3 linked regions of the Lytechinus pictus genome follow. The protein of the gene in region 1 purifies or fractionates together with the protein of each later gene. This does not show direct contact. Links are inferred from orthologs where the notes say so. Each region holds a gene or a part of one and is shown on either strand. Other genes may lie near its edges.

Region 1 (8,620 bases):
CGGTGATTTTCTCCGACAAATTATTGGAAACCACCGACTAATTTTGTCGGTGGCCTTCACCTACCGACAAAACTTATTTTCACCGACTAATCAGCCTTTTGAGGGCCTTTGCAGCTAAAATCGATCAATTTCAGTTGATTTTGAATGTAACATTTTAATAAATTGCTTATTTTTCATTTCATTGAGAAAATTCAAAGAAAATGTATTTATTTTTAGTCAATGACAAATAAAAAGTAGACATTTCAAGAATAATATTTTCATCTTTAAAACTATATTATATCAATCAATACATAGGAAACATCTTCAAATGTACACATTTTTTCAAACATAATTTTCTTTAACCCAAATAAATCATTGTGCATTTTTTAATCAATAATGTCTGATAATGTCTGAAAAATGCGACCTCATTGACTTTTGTACAAGTTTTTTCAATGTTCATTAGTGTTGTTGGTGTTGCTGCTGCTGTTGTCATCGTGATTGCTGGAATTGCTGTTTGTTTTTGCTGCTCTTGGTGTTGTGGGTGTGGTTGTTGCATCTCCTGGTGCAATTAGTTATTTTTGCTACTGATGTTGCTCAAGGTGGTGCCTGTGTGGTTGCTGTTGTCATCGCTGCTACTGCTGCTGTTTACGAGTGTGGCTGTTGCATCTCCTGAGGCATCTATTGATGTTGTCGCTTGTGTTGTTGCTTGTATGATTGCTTGTTAGAATCCTTGCTGTTTGCTTTGTTTCTACTGTCGTTGTTGCTACTGCTGTTGATGTTTACCACTGTGGTTGTTGCATCTCTTGATGAAGTTATTTATGTTGCGCCCGATGTTCCCTGCATGATTGTTGGAGCTCCTGCTGCTGTTGATGTTGTCGGTGTGGTTGTTGCATCTCTTACTGCAGTTGTAGTTTCAGCTGCTGATGCTGTTGTTGCTCCTGCTGCTGTCCATGTTCATGGAAGTAACTGAAATGGATTTAATTTATAGAGCATGTGATATTTTATTAATAAAGATATCAATTTCCATCATTATTGATATCAGTCATTTATTCTTAATTTAATTATCATTGTTAAAACATTTTTTTATTTCTAATGTTTGAAATAAGAACTTTAAGTTCTAAATGGTTAAAATATTGTCACCAAAGCCTTATTAAACAATGAAAACAAAAAAGTTAATAACAAAGAAATGCATAAGAAAATGATTAAAATTTCCTCTTTTTTTATACACAATTGATTTTGATGACTTGGGTTTTTCTCATTGGTTTACCAAAGAAAGGGAGTCAAAATCCAAAATTATCACATTTGGTCTTTATTTCTTGAGCCAAATGCTGATTTCATGCAAGAGTCATGTTATCATATTAAATTAAAAAAAAAAAAACATCAGGAACAGCAGCATGATTTCTGAAGCGAGTGCACAATCAACAGGCAAGATCCTGAGGCACCCCCCCCCCTACCAAGATCATTTGAATTAATGAGGTTTCATGACTGCTTTTGTAGGCATTACATTTATACAGGCCTACAAGAGATATAATTTTTTTTTTTTTTTTTTTTTTTTTTGGGGGGGGGGGTAATCTTCCAGTGTTACTCCCATACAAAGCAGATGGTGATGGGGCGGGGGGGGGGTCTAATAGGAATGCAGAACAATGGAACATTCATTTACTACTTTGGCAATAGAAAGCAAGTCACACCATCTAGCATTGATTGATATTGGTTGTTTTACAACTGTCCAATAAATATCACCATTAATCAATTAAGCATCTAAGCACTTATAGATGTCATTGTTTTCAAATATTTGAGTAGAACAAATAAAGAAGAGAGCAGTACCAGTAATTTAATATTTTTTTTAATGTGACTTTACTTTCTTCGCCAAAGTGAGGCAGTCATAATTAAGAGTGTTTTAACTTACAAGTGACATCACATTTCCTGCCTTCTTGTCTGGCTCTCCTAAACCTTCAACCATTTATACTTGTGTAACTTTGTATCTCATGTCTGTCTGAAAAGTTTGGTTGAAGCCTCCACCTGAAGGAAAAATAGTATTGAAATAACTAATTAAAATATTTGCCATAATCTGGTATTTCTTCTCACATGTATATGTACATGTCTAAAAACAGGAAATAAAACATCTTTTGATTACCAGGTTTCATATAGAAGGGGGTAAATAAAGGGTTCAAGTTTTTATTATGTTAATAAAAAATACAAACAATAGTAAAAATGACATATGCTCTGGCTGAGAAACTTAAAAAGTGAAATTATTCCTCACAATGTAGCTTGTATGTACATACACATGAGCAAGTAGTGCTAAATGGATTGAGGGGTGAGAGCAGGGGCTCCGGAAACCGGCGGGGGGGGGGGGGGTGCATGTTAGCTGCAGGGTCAGCGGAACGGTTTTTACAGTGAACGGGCTGACCATGCAAAAAATCGTAACCAGATGGTCATTTCATATTTTTCAGCCCCCGCACTGTTTTCCAAAACCATGTACAAAAATGTAAAATTGACCATCTGCTTATGATTTTTTGCATTGGTCAGCCCCCCCCCCCCCCCCCCACTTTCGGCTCAGCCCCCTCACTTTCAAAACCGTTCTGCTGACCCTGCAGCTAACATGCAAAATATATTGAATCTATTATGTCTTTCATGCTTATGTAATGTTTGCATTTCAAACTGACTTTAAATAGAAAATCCGGTCACAGTCCGATTTCATTGTCATTGATGTGGGTTTTTATGATTTTACATTCTGCAACCAAAACAATATCCTTCATTATTTTTTAATCATTATCGCATTTTACTAGTCTACATGTTACCTGTGGTTGCATTTCAATCTCGGTATTTCTTCACCCATTGCCAAATCTTCTGTCACATGTTCATCAAATTGGCCGCTGGCACATTCCTTGCTGTAGTAGACCAGTCAGAGCCTTGCTTTCTAGTTCCAGATCCGTCTTCTTCTGCATACTGTTCAAATGTCCATAGTCTGAAATTAAAATATTAATAATATCACATTGTTATACATGTAGCAAAGAAAATATGTAGATTTACAGTGATCATTGAAAAATACTGCACTTTCAATGAATATTGTTGACATTTCATAAAGGGGAATGATCGAATATACCAATCATTTTTCTTCTTTTATTATCCTGAAATTTATAGAATTTACCAACAATCGGTCAACAATTTATCCTTGTTAATTCATATAATTTTCACTTGATTATAAACAAGACGGTAATTAACACATTAACCATACAAAATAGTAAAACAGCTTTTTCAATAATTTTTTTTTTAAATTAAAAAATAAAAATAAAAGTTTTTTTCAAACTCAATAGCGCTTGGATACCTTGCCGGTTAAAAGCCACAATCAAATTAATAAAAAATATGAATAGGCTCCTAATTCATAACTGCAGCAAATTGCATCCCCATCAAACCATCAAACTGTCAACTATTTCTGGACTGTGACCTTTGTTCAATGGAACTTTAATATGAGATTCAAGGCAGAAAAATACTTGGGATTGATGAGATCCATTCCATATTCTCCTATATTTTTTTCTAATGAAGAGACCTTTAACCTTTACATGCTATTTAAGGTTAGGTATGACTAGACTCTAACTTTATGTGGTACGACAGTATTTTTCAAAAAATAGATTAAGAGACATTATCAACAATAATTTAATTTATTTACCCCAATAACACCGATGCTATTGCAGATTCATGCTAAATAGTAATTTGTCTAAAAAATTGACTTAGAAAAATAAAAGCCAAACAAACTTCATAATCGCACACAAATGAAGAGCATTATTTCGTCTCCCCCAAATTGGACGATCAATATTTTTTTTTAAAGGGAGCTATGAAATGGCTCATTTCACTTGGGTGCGCAAAGTCAAAGATAATTTAAGATAGATCTAGGCCTATAAGCTATACCAGTACGGCCACGGGCCGGTTGCACTATTTAAAACTTAGATCTAATAATTTTTTTATATCTAGATTTTAATTTTTATTGGGTGTGAACGCACCTCTGCCACAATCGCATCACCCCCCCCCCCCCGCCCGAATCCTCGACAGCTGTCGAGAGCCTTCACTTCATTCGACTTGTGACTTGCTAAGGCTAAGCCTACATTAATAGTTGAGAACATCCACTTTACAAATTTACCACTCACACTATTACCATGTGATTTAGCTCCTGTTCAATTCCAATTTCTGTAACACAGAATTAGGATGGCCCCATTGGATATGTGTACATTTACAATTGCACACGCTGGTTTGCCTGGTGATCAAGCCAATCTCCGACTACACCGAGCAACAAAATTATTACAAAACCAAAGGAAATGAAAAAATATGATTTGCAACATAGAATGACATAAAGGTAGAACAATATAAAGAATTCTCTTTGCAAAATTTATAACATTGCAGCCATGTGCGGATCATAAAAACGTGACAGCCGTGAGCCGTGTCGTTAGTTTGGACCTGAGATAGTTCTACAGACACAGAAACACGGGTATGGGACTAGACTGGATTTTGTACTGTCAAGTTCACCGATCGTATCGACAGGGGTCCTGCCAGAAGATCCTCTTTTCTTGTAATTCATTTGATAATCACGCACAACGAATAATTCAATCACCTTACATACAATATGAACGACATTTTGAAGGGTTTTACTTACGGTAAAATCCTCATTCACCTCTACGAGGACCTTCGCTTCTTCTCATTTCTTCGTTTCATTTCGAATCGTCGTGGCGAAAACATCAATCAATTTTACATCTTTTTCACGACTTTGGGAGTGGGCGTGGCCTAATTAGTCAGCGAACCTCGTTCAAGACGATTTGTAAAATAAAAATTCTCTGACAATAGTCAGAGGAGCTCCGAGAGTTTGATGAAACGAATTTTTGTCAGCGCTGACTAAATTGTCAGCGCTGACAATTTTAGTCAGCGCTGACAGTTGTCGGACGAAAATATTGATGAAACACCCCCCTGGTCACTATAAATGAGGGGACTGATGACATAAGGGCAATTCCATGGAAAATGTTCACTTTAGAGAAAAAATGAAGTTTCAGATTTCACTTAAGCAGTTAAATTTTCTTAAAAAGTAATCTATAAAGTTTCAATTTCCAATAGAAAAATTGCAATATTGATAAAATTTTGTATTTTTTTCCATCATAAAAAAAATTGAATAGTAAATTGCAAAATCTAAAAAACGTGGCTATTTTTAAACAATTCATCTTTTCTGTCTCTACTAAAAGCAAATAAGGTCCCAGAGGTCTCTTTTAACTTCTGAATAGTTGATTAATGTTTACATCAATACAAAATCATCATTAAATTTTATGCCATTCATCAATTTTAAAGAAATCGATCTTCAGATTTGTGTGATTTCTTTATCATTTTCAGTGTCATGTCCGTTACGTTTTTCACTTAAAGTTTTCACAGCTTACAGGAAATTTGTCTGAAGGTACTGCAGATTCAGATTCTATGTTAGAATTAATCCCCCTACCATGTGTAGCAATCATTTTCCCTTACCACTTCTCATTTTCATAAAAATGGCGTAACGGACATGACAAATCGTGTAACGGACATGACGCCTTATATACGACAAAAGGTAGCATTCACAAAAACAAAATATTAGGCTCAGTGTCACAGACTGAGGTCAGTCTCAATTGCTTGAGGATAGCTGGATGTAATAACTCCTAAAATCTGCATGTCATTCAAGCTATTTTTCGAAGTTGGTGAATGATGAAAGTTCAGCTCTTGTTCTGGTATATTTTTCTGAGAATTAACAATATGCCACATAATATTAGGATAAGATGCAGCTAGATCTGGCAACATACTCAGATCACAATCTGTATCATTTGTGTTTGAACAATACGATTGATTATCTTAGGTGTTTGCACTGACAGTTTGGAGCATGATAAAATTCCAACTTGTGAATTCATGAGATCATTGATGATATTGCTTCAAAGTATCTGACTTTCACCAACCTCAACTTCTTCAGTGATGGCACGGGCTCACATTTAAAAACAAGTTTGTATTCAGATATCTGTGTTACATGATGTAGCTCTATGAATCCATGAATCTACAGTGGCACTTCTTTGCAATATCACAAAGCAAAGGGGCTATGGAAGGAATGTGGCGCTATCAATAAATTATGTCATCATAGTATTTTGGTCAGCCATAATCACGATTTGAATGATGTATCTTCATTTGTACACAAGCAGCACGGACAATGCAACATAATTAGATACAGCCACATTTGTCAGCAAGCAAGATAGTAAGATTTAGAACATCCAAGAATTGATGAAAGGATGATTATACTCAGGATGATATTTATTTTGAATGAAAAAAAATCTCAGAAGCGATTTACAAACATTCCGATTACCTTTCAACTCATACATAATCGATAATGAAAGACTGGTTTCCAGGTACTGCTATTAAATTTTAAAATACTTTTTAATATCATTTTTTTATCTTAAAACTGACATTAATACTAGTTCATATTATTCTTTATCATAAAATATATTTCATATGTTCATCTTGGATTTATACAGGTCTGGTACATTTTGTTTTCTTCTCACAAAAAATGAGATTTGGTCTTCTCAGTGTGCCGTAGGCCGTAGCGGTACTATTAAGCATTGTATTCTATATAAAATTATCATGTAGGCTTTAGCTATTAAATTAATAATACCTGCCAATAATATCTACATATTTTTCTTTAGAATGTTAGTAAAGGTACTTTGCTGTTACATAATTACATTCATTCATTCATATTTCTTTCATTTTGAAACTAAGAAGTGCTGATGAAGTTCACTTCGTAAGGGTGTCATGTCCGTTACGCTAAGTACATTGTCAAATAGTAAGCCATGACTAAAAGATAATCTTTACTATCAACTTTTTCTCTTTTAGTTTGGTGTTGCAGATGGTAGTAACTGGAAAATACTCATTAACTGTTGTTAATTGGTGAAAAATAAATTTTTCTAAATATTTGTTTGTTTTATAAATATTGTACGAAAAGCCCCTCTCTCAAATTGCAAAATAATAGGAGATATTACAGATTACCAGTTATGATGTGTGTCTCTAACCTCTAGCCTTAACATGTAAACAATTAGACTTGTACCATATCTTGTAATAAAATAATTATATTTGCTTACAAAAAGTGGACGAAACTGTCATGTCCGTTACGCTTCGTGTGTCATGTCCGTTACGCTTCGTGTGTCATGTCCGTTACGCTACATTTTGAGCTATGAATACAGAATGCACTGCAAAACTGTTGTTAAACACTATTTTATGGATAGAGCATGATCTTAAGGTTAAATCAACACCAACATCAGGTGCATGCAATCTAAGAATTCACAGGAATTTTGATAAGCAATAGGAGGTAAAAATGCTTCGTCCATTTCGTGTCATGTCCGTTACGCTCACAAAGAGTGCAATTTCTCAGCAACTGTTCAACGAAACGATTTGAAATTTCATGTGTATGTAACTGATACTTAAATGTGTCTGATAAGCTCAGTAACAATTATCAAAAGACTGCTAATTCTACTGTATTTACCTTTGAATTATAAAAATTTGTCTGAACGTCATGTCCGTTGCGCTGGAATTGACCATAACCCACTCACTATTTCTTTTGTATCATATTATATGAAATATTTGAATTTTCTCCTCATTGTCATGTGAGCAAAGTTTCGTTCCTCCCTTAACATGTGGAATTTGATTGTTTTTACATTTTGTGGTTCGAACAAGATGGTCATAATTGTCATATCCGTAAAAAAATGAAATATTGTATAATTCAAACAATAAAAACAAAAGAAATAGCCAGTGAGTGACATCATCAACTCTCTCATTTGCATATCGCTGAGTTGAGCATAGAATGAGTAAAATAAAAATACAAAAATAGAGAGAGAGAGAGAGATGGAGAAAGAGAGAATTCAGATCAATTAGTAATAAATTTATAAAAAAAAATTACCCCTCTCCAAGAAAGAAATTAAAAAGCTATAATTCACAACTATAAGCTAAGTGATTTTGGATTATTAAGGCTCCGTTTTGACAAGCAAACGTTTTAAAATGTCATAACTTTTTTGTTTTTCATCCGATTTTGATGAAATTTTCAATGTTGTGCCAGTCTGATTTTTCTCTATTTATTCAAATCAATATTTTACTGGGGTGGACTTGACCTTTAAGTACCTTGTTACCTAGGCCATCTGGCCTGGGAGATTTGTGTGTTTGTAAGCCTGAAAATATTCTTCTTACGTCATGCTCAGAAATTTGGATAGGTGTTTGATCAGGCATCTCGTTCACCTTACTTTTGATTCCTTCATTTTCACTACCAAAATTTTCAACATCAAAACGACATTAAAAATTATTTAGATCATCAACAAAACCAATATCTTGTTCTGTTGGCACAGATTTTGATTTATCTTTGTTGTATCGAGTAATATCCTGCATTGTTTTCCATGCCTTTCTGGGGTTATTATCTCAAGAGTTCCGTTCAATCTTTTCTTTGTAGGAACTTTTACATTTTTCCGTCTGCTGCTTGATTTTTCATTGGGTTTCTCTCAGTAACTCCGTATTTCCTGTCGAAAGCGCTGCACCCTTCTCCCTGAGTAAATCGCAAAGTTCTTTATTAACCCACGGCTTGTTGTTAGGATACACCTTAACTCGTCTGTTTGGC
Region 2 (8,160 bases), on another chromosome or scaffold:
AAAGATAAACAAATATTAAAAAAAAAATCACAGCTAAGACCAATCTTCAAAATTAAACCCACTTAAAATGCTTGGGCTTAGAGTGTTGTCTTTACCCCTCACCCAGTTCTCTTTAAAATACAAATTAAGGTAAACATCAATTTTATTTATTTATTTATTTATTTATTCATATTTCACCAGGGTAGCTCATTCAACAAAAGTTGATCTTCCATGAGGCCCTGGATAACAAACAATACAATTATATACAATTAAAAACAATCAATGGTGATAATACATATACAATCATCAGTCCATATGATATTGTTAAAATACAGACGTATAAAGTGATAACAGTATTATATAAAGTAATATATCAAAAAAGAGATTATAGTTTATAGCATCAGTCCTGAAAGGGGAATGGTATTGCATCCCAGTTGATCGGCCTAGGCAAGATTGAGGAAATGTCTTTTAACAGAGAGTTTGAAATTATTGAGGGTTTTAACATTTTTAACACTTTGTGGGAGACTATTCCATAGAACGCAGCCATCATAATATAAAGCATAATATAAAGCAGTTGTAATCTTAAAACTTAGACCCCAGCATCTTCCAAACTATAAAACCCTTGTGATAACGCATACTTAATTTGACCAGACCAGTTTATAAAAAAAAAAAAAAAACAGAACAAAAAAATGTAACCCTCTTCCAGCCTAACATCCTGTAATAAATGATGTTATTAAACATTCATTTTTTTCTTCCAGGCAAAGAAATTAATCATAAAAAACAACATCAAAACTTAGAGCCCGGGGAGCATTTCATGAAAGGAGTTGTCTGACGTTTTATCCGACACTGGTAGCACTGCTTCTTAGCCAATCAACATCAAGAGCAATTGTCAAATCTGACAACTTGTCGGATATAAATGTTGATGAAATGCTCCCCCAATCATCTTATTCATGTTGAACAGGCACAAGAACATGATTGAGTCTTAGTTATGAGGATTTCATTTATCTTATTTTTGAAATGACATGGTCTGGAATAAAGAAAACTCTCTAAACTTTTATTTATTGAAGGTTCTTAGTTTGAAGGATAGTTGGGCCTTAGATTATGTTATTCTTTTTTCATGATTTTGGTTATTTTGAAATAATTGGGTCTGGAGGAAAGACTACATCATATTTCCATGTTATTCAATGTTGATAAGATTGCAGGGTCTTTTTTGTTGTTGTTGTGTTTTAAATGACTTTTATAACTCGGTCTGGAGGAAAGACTACGCTATATTTCCATGTTTTTCATCATAAAGAGGATCGTGGGTCTTTGTTTGCTTTTTTTAATTAATACTAATTTATTATTATTATTATTCATTTCTTATTTGAATGATCTGGGTCTGGAGGAAAGACTACGCTATATTTCCATGTTATTCAACCTAAATAGGATCGTGAGTCCTTGTTTGCTTTTTTTTAATTATTACTAATTTATTATTATTATTATTCATTTGTTATTTGAAAGATTTGGGTCTGGATGAAAGATTATGCTATATTTCCATGTTATTTAATATTTACAAGAGAGTTCGGGTCTTTGTTACTTTTCCACCAGTTTTAATTAACTGGGTCTGGAGAAAAGACTAAGCTCGATTCTCATTTTATTCCACTAGAATATCATTATCGTATCTTAGTTTGGACTTATAATAATTTTGAAACAACCGGGTCTGGAAAAAAGACTTTGGACTTGCATTATAATTTTTTAATTATCCGGGTCTGAAAAAAAGACTTTGGACGTATATTATAATTTTTTAAACAACCGGGTCTGGAAAAAAGACTTTGGACTTGCATTATAATTTCTTAATTTTCCGGGTCTGAAAAAAAGACTTTGGACGTATATTATAATTTTTTAAACAACCGGGTCTGGAAAAAAGACTTTGGACTTGCATTATAATTTTTTAATTATCCGGTTCTGAAAAAAAGACTTTGGACGTATATTATAATTTTTTAAACAACCAGGTCTGGAAAAAAGATTTGGACTTGCATTATAATTTTTTAATTAACCGGGTCTGGAAAAAAGACTTTGAACGTATATTATATTTTTTTAATTAACTGGGTCTGGAAAAAAGACTTTGGACGTATATTATAATTTTTTAATTAACTGGGTCTGGAAAAAAGACTTTGGACTTCTGTTATAATGGTTGAAACGACCGGGTCTGAAAAAAAAGACTTTGGACGTATATTATATTTTTTTAATTTACCGGGTCTGGAAAAAAGACTTTGGACGTATATTATATTTTTTTAATTTACCGGGTCTGGAAAAAAGACTTTGGACGTATATTATATTTTTTTAATTAACTGGGTCTGGAAAAAAGACTTTGGACGTATATTATAATTTTTGAATTAACTGGGTCTGGAAAAAAGACTTTGGACGTATATTATATTTCTTTAAACAACTGGGTCTGGAAAAAAGACTTTGGACGTATATTATATTTCTTTAAACAACTGGGTCTGGAAAAAAGACTTTGGACTTCTATTATAATTTTGAAACAACCGGGTCTGGAAAAAGACTTTGGAATTGTACTATAATGTTTTATTAACCGGGTCTGGAAAAAAGACTTTGCACTTTTGTGCTATATGAACGCATTACTATAGGATTTTAGTTTAGAACAGGTTCGTCAAAAATCCCTTCAAATTTATTACATTTGTGGGTAAAGTCATTATTACATTTGTGGGCGATCAAAAATTATTACATTTGTGGGTAAAGTGCATTATTACATTTGTGGGTGAAATTATTACATTTGTGGGTAAAGTGTTATTACATTTGTGGGCGTTATTACATTTGTGGGTAAAGTGTTATTACATTTGTGGGCGTTATTACATTTGTGGGCGATTATTACATTTGTGGGTGTAACACCCCCCCCCCCACTTTTTTCCAAAACCGTGTACAAAAACTTAAAGATGACCATATGATTGTGATTTTTAGCATGGTCAGCCCCCCCACTTTGAAAACCGTTCCGCGGCCCCTGATTTTAATTATCACAGTTTCCTTTATATGGGGGCAAGGGAACCGAAAGGCAGAGGGGGCACTTGCCCCCTTAAAATTTCCCATAGCAAAAACGCCTTTTTTAATGTGAAATGCAAGCCTGCGTAGGGAAAATTTTGGGGGTACTTCAGCACCCCAGCTTCCCAGGGCCATGGTTCTGCTTGTTAGATTTTTTGTTTTCTTTACCCTTTACCAAAATGGAATAAAGAATGAAGGTCATGGAAACTTGTTTCCCACTTTTATGAAACTCCGGGTTGAAACTTATAGGGAATTGATTGAGTAAGCAACTTGCGGGTACGGGAGGCATAGGCCTATACTGTGCAGCCGGGAGAACGGGAGATTATCCCATAAGTTGGCAACAAAAATAAAAACGGTTTAGAAAGGCAAATACAAGTTGGAAAAGGGGGAAAGAGGCAAATACTAGGGGGATGACAGTATTTAGCCCCCCCCCCCCCCCATACAACCGCGTAGCCAGGAAGCGCGCTCCCTAGGGTGCAGGGTAATCTCATCGTAAATCAAAAGAAGGCGTCTTTTGCGTCTCTAGTACCCTTTTCAACTCGAATTCAATTGAATTGCTGTGATAAAAAAATTGTTTTCAAAAGAAATTATGAGCTTGAAGATTTGAGATAAGATTGGAGGATTTGAAAGAATTCCTCTTACCGCGCGAAGCGCGGAAGCTAAAACGTTTTATAAAAATTGAGAACAGAAGTTATAAAAACGCCTACCTTGGTCACATCAGATTTGATTTAAATCAAGTTAACTCAAGTCGCAAAACAGAGTAAGAGACGGGTATATGCAGGAAAGAAATAGGCCCTATTTCTTCCCGCGAATGGTGTTGAAGCTCTGAATTTTAGAAATTTATCTGAAAGCTTAACCTGTTATAATTTTGACATTTCTTAGACTGTAACTCGATTAACAAGGAAAATGAGCTCAAAATGTGAAAGGGATGGTGCAAGCTAGAAGAGGGACTTAATTGTCCTTTCCCATGCTCGCCAAGTGCGGAAACCTTTGTGATTTATTTTGGAAGAAAAAAAAAGTGTATAATTTCGCTCATATTAAGCGCTTCCTTTTGTTTGATTTATAAGATACTTCAGTGATATTAAAAATTTTAAATCAATGGCACAAAACAAGACAGGAGATGGATGTGCAGCGATAAACAATAAAGTCTCATATATACTTTTGCATATTATAACACGGAACGAATTTAATGCCTCCTCCTTTGAGCAGATATACTTGCCAAAATTACTTGCTGACAAAGCGGAAAAAAATTCATTTGGGGAGTCGGGAAATGACGGTAATGTTTACCCGCTCCGAACAGGAGAGCCGACAATTTGTGTCAATTGCAATTTTAAAAATATATATTTTTCACTCTTTACACCCATGTATAATTTATAACCTCTGGCAAGAATATACGATTCCCACAACCGGGAAGGGGAAAAACGAAGTAGAAAAGGGTGTGGGGAAACAAAAGGGAAAGGCGATTTAGATGTTTTTCACGCGCGGAGCGCGGAAGCAACATTTTTTATGAAGAGAGAAGATCAACGTTTCGTTAACTTTAGGTTTTTATTCTTTTGACAAAAAAAAGAAGGAAAAACAACACAGCATACCTTTTCTTCCCTTTCATAGTCTACTTTCGCTTTTTATTTTTCTCCTTTTCCTCTTTTTTGTTGTTGTTGTTGTTTTTTTTTTTTTGGGGGGGGGGCGACCGCCCCCATCGCCCCCTGGCTACGCGCCTGCCCCCATACCCTGCCCTGCCCTATATCCTGCTCTCCTCCCTTCATATCAGCAAATACTGTACTTTTTTCTTTTCTCAGAGACACTGTACCGGTACCCGTGCAATTGTTTTGATCTCTAGCTAGCTCTTTGTTCAGTTCACGTCCCGCGCGAAAATTGAGTGCTAATGACAGAGTTATTAGGAGTCCCACCCATTAAGGCCAGGCATAGATAGAGTTATAATATTATATAAACCTAAACACTCTATGGTCCCACCCAGCTTGACAGGTAAGAACTAAATCAATCATTTATGGAAATTGAATTTGCGCTTTTAACATGTTTCATGGTGGCACACATCCCTATCGCCACCAAATTTGAGAGTATTTCATGATTTAAAAAAAATCCCGGCTAGCGGCCAGGCTTCGGCTTCGCTTCGCGCAAGTGCCTAGTCCGTGCCCGGCCCGTGGTATGGTGCTTGGCCGCATCTTTCCCGATCGAGATTCAGCGTCCCTCTGCTAGCCGGCAATTATACCCAGAGAGCTCCGTCCCGCGAAACTCGAAGCGGGCCGGAGCCTAACTTAGAAAATAGAAGGTAACCAAGGGCCTCCATGACAAGATGAGCGATACGTAGAAAAGTTCTAGGACCATTCTTCCGAGATAGGAAGATTGGCGACAAATCAGCGCTTTCCATTTCACAAACTAAGGCAATTTCAATTTGTCTTCCAAGACAATCCTTGACATCGTTTGGTATCGATAGTAATTAGTATCGCCTATCGGAAAAATAATTTAGTCTTCATCGTCACCTGAACCTTTTATTTCGGAATGACGGCTTTTCATAATAATAGATTCTATACTCAGTAGAGGCGCACGGCCAATATGGGAGACTCCAATAGCCATAGGGGAGACGATCTCCCACATTGGAGACTTGCTTTGCAAAAGGACAAAAGAAACAACAACAAAAGCATGATTTTTTCCACCCAAAATTTTGTCTCACTGAGGTCAGAAGCCCATTTGTTTTGTGTGTGATTGACAACAAAAATCCTTATCAAAACAAAAGTAGACGGTGAAAAGGGGTAATTTTTCATGAGGAATCTGCTTATCACATTTTTATTTGCCGCCAAGGTAATCCTTTTGCAGCAAATGCAAACAAAGGAAATTGGTCTCCAAAACTGGAGACTGTCTCTGAAATTGGATACCCAAATTCTTTACAAAAGTCTCTGATATTGGAGATAATCTCCCACATTGGAGACAGTCTCCAATATTGGCCGTGCGCCTCTACTGATATTAAATACAGTAATTTTAATAGTTAAAAAAGAGATTTATTCTGCAAGGCAGGAAGCTGTTTTGCCACCTGTTGGAACCCTTATAAAACATTGTAGAAAATATAGGGAAGAGGAATATAAGATTGCACAAGAGAGGAATACCTTGGCAATACATCTGGGCAATTCCATGGAAAATGTTCACTTTAGAGAAAAAATGAAGTTTCAGATTTCACTTAAGCAGTCAAATTTTCTTAAAAAGTAATCCATAAAGTCTCAATTTCCAATAGAAAAATCGCAATATTGATAAAATTTTGTAGTTTTTTTCCATCATCAAAAAAATAGAATAGTAAATTGCAAAATTTAAAAAACAAGGTCCCAGAGGTCTCTTTTAACTTTTAAATAGTTGAATAATGTTTAAATGAACAGAAAATCATCGTTAAATTTTATGCCATTCATCAATTTTAGAGAAATCTGTCTTCAGATTTGTGTGATTTCTTTACCATTATCAGTGTCATGTCCGTTACGTTTTTCACTTAAAGTTTTCACAGCTTACAGGAAAATTGTCTAAAGGTACTGCAGATTCAGATTCTATGTTAGAATTAAACCCCCTACCATGAGTAGCAATCATTTTCCCTTACCGCTTCTCATTTTCATAAAAATGGCGTAACGGACATGACAATTCGCGTAACGGACATGACGCCTTATATATGACAAAAGGCAGCATTCACAAAAAAAAATATTAGGCTCAGTGTTACAGACTGAGGTCAGTCTCAATTGCTTGAGGATAGCTGGATGTAATAACTCCTAGAATCAGCAGTTACTCAACCTATTTTTAGAAGTTGGTGAATGATGAAAGTTCAGCTCTTGTTCTGGTAGATTTTTCTGAGAATTAACGGTATGCCACATAATAAGGATAAGATGCAGCTAGATCTGGCAACATACTCAGATCACAATCTGCATCATTTGTGTTTGAACAATATAATTGATTATCTTCTGTTTGCACCGACAGTTTGGAGCATGATAAATCTCCAACTTGTGAAGTCATGAGATCATTGATGATATTGCTTCAAAGTATCTGACTTTCACCAACCTCTACTTCTTCAGTGATGGCACGGGCTCACATTTAAACACTAGTTTGTAGTCAGATATCTGTGTTACATGATGTACATTGTAGCTCTATGAATACATGAATCTACAGTGGCACTTCTTTGCAATATCACAAAGCAAAGGGGCTGTGGAACGAATGTGGCGCGATCAAATTATTATGTCATCATAGTATTTTGGTCAGCCATAATCACGATTTGAATGATGTATCTTCATTTGTACACAAGCAGCGCGGACAATGCAACAATATAAGATAAAGCCACATTTGTCAGCAAGCAAGATCGTAAGATTTAGAACATCCAAGATTTGATGAAAGGATGATTATACTCAGTCAGGATGATATTTATTTTGAATGAAAAAAAATCTCAGAAGCGATTTACAAACATTCCGATTACCTTTCAACTCATACATAATCGATAATGAAAGACTGGTTTCCAGGTAATGCTATTAAATTTTAAAATACTTTTTAATATCATTTTTTTTAATCTTAAAACTGACATTAATAGTAGTACATATTCTTTATCATAAAATACATTTCATAATATGTTCATCTTGGATTTATACAGGTCTGGTACATTTTGTTTTCTTCTCACAAAAAATGAGATTTGGTCTTAGTGTGCCGTAGTGGTATGATAAACATTGTATTCTATATAAAATTATCATGTAGGCTATAGCTATTAAATTAATGATACCTGCCAATAATATCTACATATTTTTCTTAAGAATGTTAGTAAAGGTACTTTGCTGTTACATAATTACATTCATTATTCATATTTCTTTCATTTTGAAACTAAGAAGAGCTGATGAAGTTCACTCCGTAAGGGTGTCATGTCCGTTACGCTAGTGTATATTATCAAATAGTAAGCCATGAATAAATAATAATCTTTACTATCAACTTTTTCTCCTTTAATTAGGTGTGGCGGATGGTAGTAACTGGAAAATACTCATTAACTGTTGTTAACTGGTGTAAAAGAAATTTTTCTAAATATTTTTTTGTTTTATAAATATTGTACAAAAAGCCCCCCTCTCAAATTGCAAAATAATAGGAGATATTACAGATTATCAGTTATGATGTGTGTCTCTA
Region 3 (7,820 bases), on another chromosome or scaffold:
GAAGGTTTACTCACACAGCGCTGTTGGGCGCCCTTCCCCATGACTTGAGCAGCCCTTCTAAGTTTCTAATCAAAATCCCCACAATACTTTCTGCCATGTGAATTAGAATAGTGAATCATGGGTGCACAGACATGGCAGGGTCACCATTTAGTTTAAATCTGAAAATGACTGGTCAAGGTTTTTCCATGAAACAAGACTTGGTCATGTTGGTAGACCTATTTCTCTCAAATTTATTTTAGAAAATTGGGACACATTTGGATTGAAAATATTTGTGGAATAGAAAGAAATTCGGCGCGAATGCAGTTTCACACCAGCCGACTTCGAGCAAATTTCCCCACCAAAAATTGTTCGCAAATGTCATGGCAAGTTTCTCACTTCTCAGTCACATTTCATCAACAAGGTCAATGTGCCAACTGCTTTTCCAAATATCGCGATCGGCTGTATTTTGATTTGCGGCTTTTTGAACTTGACGTCGTTTGAATTCTCAGTCAGACAATGCGCTTCGCTTTGCCATAATTTTGAGATTAACATATGGACTGAAGTAAGCAAACACAATAAAAATAGAGTCTACCGTTAGGTGGGGAAATTTGCTTGTTGAAGCTAGCCTAGGTCAGTAGAGGCGCTGGTCCAAAAATTGGGATTGTCCCAGAAAACAAGAATATCCTCATATTCCTAAACCAAGACAAATCATGTCTTGATAAATCGAGACTGTCCTTGTTTATGGGGACTTTTTTTTTCACTTCTCCCTACGGGACAAAGACATCAATTACGGGATTTGAGAGTGCTAAAAGTAAAAATTGATTCAAAGACCTTAAAGGAGAATGAAACCCTTGAAACCAGCTGAATCCATATCAAAGAGAAAAATCAAAGAAACATATTGTTGAAAGTTTGAGGAAGATTGAATGAACAATAAGAAAGTTATGAGCATTTGAATATTGAGATCACTAATGCCATGTAGATCCTCCTATTGGCAATGCGACCAAGATCTGTGATGTCACACACGTACAACTCCCTCATTACTTTAGTACTTATTTCACTTATATTCTCACTTTTACAGTCTATCACAAGGTGAGGTGTTCTCTTTATGAGAGAGTACAGAGGTTTCACAAGTACAGAGGTTTCACAACATTATATCATTGATAAATCGTTCGTCATATGATTAGAATGAGCAAAAAGATATGTTTTGGGGTATATTTTCAGTGTCCAAAAGGGGAGAGTTGTTCATCTGTGACATCATCGATCTTGGTCGCATTGCCAATGGGAGGATCCCCATAGCATTAGTGATCTCGACATTCAAATGCTCATAACTCTTCTATTGCTAGTCCTATTTTACTCAAACTTTTGTTGATCTTATTCTTTGATTTTTCTGCTTTCACAAAAGCTGACTTGCTCCAAGAGTTTCATTCTCCTTTAATTCCCCCCAGTTCACCGTCTATTTTCATGAATTACCGTCTTCCAATAATCTTGATATGAAACCTGATATGTTTACATTGACTAGCACACTTGATTGGTGTTGGCACTTGACAGGTGAATGAACTTTCCTAGATTTCTTGTGTAGAGAAATCTTTAAAAACTGAGACAGTCCCTGTAAACTGGGACAATCCGAATTTTCTGACCAGCGCCTCGAGCCTACTGTACTGTAGGTAGGGCTAGGCCGGAGCCGAGTGAAACTGCATTATTAGCACCAGAAATTCATGTTGACAGTAGAGGCGCACGGCCAATATGGGAGACTGTCTCCCATGAGAGAGATTATCTCCAATATCAGAGACTTTCGTAAAGAATTAGGGTATCCAATTTCAGAGTCTCCAGTTTGGGAGACTAATTTCCTTTGTTTACATTTGCTGTAAAAGGATTAGCTTGGCGGCAAATAAAAATCTACTCTGAAAATTCACTGTCTACTTTTGTTTTGATAAGGATTTTTGTTGTCATCCACACACAAAACAAATGGGCTTCTGACCTCAGTGAGACAAAATTTTGGGTGGACAAAATTCCACTTTTGTTGGTGTTTATATTTCTTTTGTTTGTTTGCAAAGCAAGTCTCCAATATTGGAGATTGTCTCCCATATTGGCCATGCGCCTCAACTGGTTGAAAACTTGAATCATATATATAAGTTATTTTTATCCAGGTGCGCAGACATGGGGACGCAACTCCCTTCATAAGAAATCCCTCTTGAACAAAGAGGGATTTCTTATATGAAGGGAGTCTCTTCTTTCTCTGTGCCTGGCAGCTGAGCACTGAGCAGAGTCTCCTGAACCAAGACCATGGCATGCCGCACTTGTTCACTGCAACCATCCCGCCTGTGGGGAATCTACAGGTAGGGACTATGGACGGTATGCCAATGCTGTATACAGCACACACTTTAAAAAATCATTAAAATGTCACTTTTGTGACCAAAATTACTAATTTCCATACATTTGCAATTTATTTTTCATTAGTAACCAGGGAATAATTTTTCTATTCACCAGAGCGCTCAAAAACTTAAATTTTTTGCATATTTTTGTGTACGCCCTCTATTGGTGGAAAGTAATATGGTAAGAAAATTTTCATTTTTCAATCTCTATTTTTAATTTTAAAAAAAAAATTTAAAAATAAAGAATCAAATTTACTTAAGAGTCAAGTTATAATATGATGTAGACCCTATAGCTGTAATGGAAACAGAGTAACAGACAGTGTAAAAAAATCAAGCATTTGTCCCAAAGTAAAAGAGAAAATAAGCCAAACATTGCTACCCTTATTTTGCAACAAATGGAGATGTAACTGAGAACAAGGTTAGTCCTTGTTCATTGAATGAGTGGCATGCGCATGCCGCCGCTCTCCAGCAGACATACACAGCCAGCTAGCGGGGAAAAGCCCCCGCAGCCACTGTCCTAAGACTGTAGTGTAACTGTGTAGTGTAAGTAAGCCTAGCACGAATGAAAATTTAAACTTTTTTTCACTAGACTCCTGTCTACAATACAAAACATAAAAAACCAACAAGTTAGATCTTCATCTTAAGGCGGATATTACTACTGTGACCCAAACAAATGGATGGTTTTTAATTTTTAGACATTCTATCGACTAGTCACCACCGACTCGCATATATATCAATCATGTCCGTTTCACACGGACGAAGTGCTCGGGCCGAGATACATCAATAGTCGTATTTTTTCATGCAGGAACTCAATATTACACCAAATATATTTGAAATGCCTTCACTACAGAGTAAAAAAATACATCGCTTATTCTCATATGATATCATTTTTAATACATTCTTTCATGATTGCATGGATTTAGACAGATTTGTGCGTTAATAATTTTATTATCGCATACCTCGCTTCGACATTTTGGAAGGAAAGAGATTGTTAATTAGCATAAAGTCGCCAATAGAGGGCTTTATAAGATAAAATCGAGAAGGGGATATCGAGAGGAACCACTCATCCACTAAAAGAAAAAAATAAATAAAAAACACTCTTTTTCACTTGTTGTATTCATGAAAAAGAATTGGGTATATTCCTAAATAGATGATGCGAACAAGAAGCGCAAATACTAATGAAAGTATAAATTTGATATAGGCCTGCTGACCGGAAAAAGAGACATTTTAAGGACTGTTTTGGCGGGACAATTCAAGCTAAGAGCTAAGGACAAATTGCAGGGGCGGATCCAGCCTTCGCCAATAGGGGGGGGGGGCGGAATTTTTTTCAGCCAAATTTTCCCCGATCGGCCGCTCGAACATGATTTTTGTTTGTTTCTTTGAAGGGGTAGTCCTAATAGTTACTTCTTAGCTTTATTCATATAAATCAACATGAATATATAATATCATCATCCAGTGGCGTACCGTGGGTCACGGCATTGGGGGGGCACCAGCAAAAGTTTTGAGTCACTAAGTGAGCGCGCGAAGCGCGCCCAGCTGCCAGGTATACCTAACAGAGACATTTTAAGGACAGTGCCATTAAACGGATATGTTTCTCACTGGTCAAATAATGCGAGCGCGAAGCGCGAGCTTAAAATTTTTGATATTTAGACCTAAAAGGGGACATTATAATAAATCTTTTGTAATCATGATATGTACCTGTCTCGCTAAATAATGCGAGCGCGAAGCGCGAGCTGAAATTTTTGTAAATATTGACCCCAAAACAGGAAGATTTTAAGGACTATATTTTAGGAATGCATTAAGAGTATACACATCTCACCATAGTCATCTAATGCGAGTGCCAATAAGCGCTTGCTGATTTTGTTAGAATTACATCTAAACATGCACATAAAGCACTTGTAATCATGATTAACATACCCATTTCACTAATCAAATCTTGCGAGCGCGAAGCGCGAGCTGAAAATTTAGGAAATTCAGACCTGAAGAGGGGCATTTTAAGGCTTGTTTGTAGAAATTCACGAAGACCATACGTAGTTCACTAACCAAATGACGCGAGCGCGAAGCGCGAGCTGAAAATTTTTGATATTCAGATTAGAAAGAGGGACATTTAAGGACTGATTCTAGGAATCCATGGAAAGCAGACATATTTCACCAATCCACTACTGCGAACGTAAGCACGGACAGGAAATGTTTTATATCAAGACCTTAAAATGGGGCAATCACTTTAAGTAGTCATGAAAAAGAAGCATACTATTGTACATAAAACAATAACTCGAAGTGCGAGGAAATATATTTGGCAGTTTGGTGTATATTGACTTGAAAACGGGAGGTTTTAGTATAACAGGATTATATATCTCGGTAAACAGACGATGCGAGCACCAGGAACAATGAGGACATAGGCCCTGAGCAAATTATGTTTCATAAAGTTATGAAAAAAAAATGTTTCTTATGTAATATAACATAACATAATTATAATATAACATTATAATGAACAATAATGTCTTCTTTCCCACTTCGTTTCTCTTCCTTTCTCCCTCTTTTTCTCCTTTTCCCCGTTTTTTTTTTTTTTTTTTTTTTTGGGTCAGCCGATTGGGGGGGCACGTGCCCCCCCATGCCCCCCCCGTAGTTACGCCACTGTGACATCATCCTTTATATTCATATAATGCGAGCGCGAAGCGCGAGCAATTTTTTTTATAAATTGTATGTATTTTTTCCTAAAATTTGAACATTCTAGTCAATGCTTGATATATTGAAAAAGATGTGTATGCAACTAAATAATTACTACAAACGCGAAGCGCGAGCAGAAATTTTTGATCCACGTTTTAAACTGATCGAAAATGTAGGCCTACCTAATGCTTACAGTTAGCCATGAAGACGTTACATATTTCAACAATCAAATAATGCTAGCGCCAGGCGCGAGCTGAAATTTTTGACCGTTTTACCTAAAGAATGGAAATTCTAAGCACTTTTTGTAACTGAAACAGAATAGGTATATAACTTAACAATTCGCGCGAGCGGAAATTTCGAGATTTAGACCTAAAAAACGAGACACTCTATTCATGTTTTGTAAATCATAAAAAGGATGAGTAATGGGGATCTTCCTTACATTAATAATGCGAGCGTAAAGCACGAGCAGAAAATTTTTGAACTGATCTAAAAGGTAGGCCCTACCCAGGGGCGGATCCAGCTTTCGCCAATAGGGGGGGGGGCCGAAATATTTTCATCAACATTTGTCCCGATTGGCCGCTATAATCTGATTTTTTTGTTGGTTTTTCAGGGGGTAGTCCTAACAATAGACTAAAGTCTTAAGTATATGTTAGTTTTTATTGTTATAAACAAGATAAGGTATCTCATGTGGTCTTTATATAATGCGAGCGCGATGTGCATGCGAGCTAAAATTCTTTGATATTTTATGTCCTTGGAACTGAAGATTCTGAGCATTTTTTATCATCATGAACAAAGATAAGTATGCAAATAAACAATGCGAGCGCGAAGCGCGAGTCGAAATTTTATTATAGTAACGTGAAAAGGGACTCAATTAGGACTGTTTTTAGCGATTAATGAAGAGGATACAAGTATCACCAATTAAATAATGAGAGTGCGAAGCGCGAGCTCAAAATTTTGGATATTCCGACCTGAAAACTTGACAGTCTAAGCGCGTTTTTATTTGAATAAAGAATAAGCTGTGTGTCTCAAACAATTAAATACGAGCGCGAAGCACGAGCTTAATTTTTTGATATACTCACATGCATGATAAAGGAGCATTTTGACAAATTTTGGAAAGAATTTCCAAAGAGGATAGGTATCTCACAAATCAAACAATGCAAGCGCGCAGCGCTAGCTGAACATTTTGATATAACAATTTGTGTAAATCAAACAAAATAATGAAAGCTTGATGTGTGAGCTAAAATATTGTGTGCAAATTGATTTCAGAGCTGCAAATATTAAGTGTCATTTAATCCTCTTGAATGGGATTCATAACACAGGCAATGCGAGCGCGAAGCGCGAGCGAAATTTTTTATATAAAGTCTATTTTCCAATTCTTCCCCTCACCTTTTTCTTGTTTTCTTTCGGGGTCGGGCCGGCCGTTACGAGGCTGTAAATTACACTTCATGGGTATAATACTTCTTTCCTACTTTTCTTTCTATTTTTTGTAGTTTCTATTTAGTTACAGAGTACACTTTTTCGGCAGGTTGTCAAAAAATAGGGGGGGGGGGCGGCTCGGCCCCCTCCTGGATCCGCGCCTGCTACCTGTTAAGGACTGCTTGCACTTAGCCATGGAGACGTAAATATTTAAACAATATAATGTTTTTTTGACATTTAGAATGGAACATTTTAATCAATATTTTCAATCGTGAACAGGATAGCTATATAACTAGACAATTGATGCGGAAAATTCGAGATCTAGACCTAAAAACGGGACACTCTATTCATGTTTTGTAAATCATGAAAAGGATGAGTAATAGGGGATCTTCCTACATATAATAATGCGAGCACAAAAAGCGAGCAGGTGCGCGCGCGTGTTTGAGATTTAATCCTATAGAATCTAGGCATTCTAAATAATCTTTTATCATGAAATTTGGCGATCGCGAAGCGCGAGCTTAAAATATTCAGTGATATTTCGATCTAAAAAGGGTCAATTTCAGCTCTATATTTCAAGCACTTTGTAGGAAAATTGTGAGGTGGATATGGATCGCACTTAATGAAGAGCTGATATTTTTATTATTATTACTTTAATTTTTGATGTTAAAATTCTCACCATAAAACTTACATTTTACAGAGCACTTTATAAAAAAAAATCAATTTTTAAATCACACAAAATAATGAAAGTTCGATTTCCGAGGTGAAATATGTTTTGTATAACTTCCAAACTTGATATTTAAGCTCCATATTGAACTAGTTGTGAAAATCGCCTAACAGGCAATGCGAGCGCGATGCGCGAGCAAATTTTTTATCGTGATATGAAAGATTCTTTTTATTTTCAAAGTCTTCCCCTCATTTTGATATATTTTTTAATTCAATCGTCTTCCTCTTATTTTTCTCCTCTCTTTTCCTTTTTTCTTTCGTTCCTTTTTTTTCTCCGCCAATAGGGGGGGGGGGGGCCTGGCCCCTTGGGCCCCCCTGGATTCGCCTATGCATTGAATATCCAAATTGAATACCAATTGACTACCCAGGACAAATTTCCAATTGAATACCCATTGAATATCCAAATTGAAATATGACAATTGGCAATTGGTTTCAATTTGGAGTAATTGGAAAGTGAAACAATGGGTACCCATTGAAACCAATTGATCCCCATTGAAACCAAAAACTATTGGTCCCAATTATTGGAACCAATGGTTTCAACTGGAAATAGCCCAATTGGTCCCCAATTTGGACACTAATTGAAACCAATTGACTTCAACTGGTTTTACTTGGTGTCATGGGCGGAAATCTGTCCCGAAAGGTAGGGGGGACAACAGGGGCGGA

What was found. Proteins that work in one complex are often made in the same cells at the same time.
Region 2: the proteins of (E3-independent) E2 ubiquitin-conjugating enzyme-like (region 1) and ATP-dependent DNA helicase Q4-like purify together in Homo sapiens (affinity purification with mass spectrometry; 3 studies listed by BioGRID, with this or other methods). This does not show direct contact. The link is inferred for Lytechinus pictus from reciprocal best matches to the Homo sapiens genes UBE2O and RECQL4.
Region 3: the proteins of (E3-independent) E2 ubiquitin-conjugating enzyme-like (region 1) and large ribosomal subunit protein uL14 purify together in Homo sapiens (affinity purification with mass spectrometry; 3 studies listed by BioGRID and IntAct, with this or other methods). This does not show direct contact. The link is inferred for Lytechinus pictus from reciprocal best matches to the Homo sapiens genes UBE2O and RPL23.

Annotation. Positions count from the first base shown.
Region 1 is NC_087254.1:31,378,377-31,386,996, reverse strand, and holds the start of (E3-independent) E2 ubiquitin-conjugating enzyme-like, read left to right. Parts: upstream 1-5,530; coding exon 5,531-5,554; intron 5,555-8,620. UniProt on the Homo sapiens protein: E2/E3 hybrid ubiquitin-protein ligase that displays both E2 and E3 ligase activities and mediates monoubiquitination of target proteins. Negatively regulates TRAF6-mediated NF-kappa-B activation independently of its E2 activity.
Region 2 is NC_087246.1:52,525,201-52,533,360, forward strand, and holds the start of ATP-dependent DNA helicase Q4-like, read left to right. Parts: upstream 1-4,809; 5' UTR 4,810-4,998; intron 4,999-8,160. UniProt on the Homo sapiens protein: An ATP-dependent DNA helicase which unwinds dsDNA with a 3'-overhang in a 3'-5' direction. Does not unwind more than 18 bp of dsDNA. May modulate chromosome segregation. The N-terminal domain (residues 1-54) binds DNA Y-shaped DNA better than ss- or dsDNA.
Region 3 is NC_087247.1:17,383,738-17,391,557, forward strand, and holds the start of large ribosomal subunit protein uL14, read right to left. Parts: upstream 3,352-7,820; 5' UTR 3,324-3,351; coding exon 3,311-3,323; intron 1-3,310.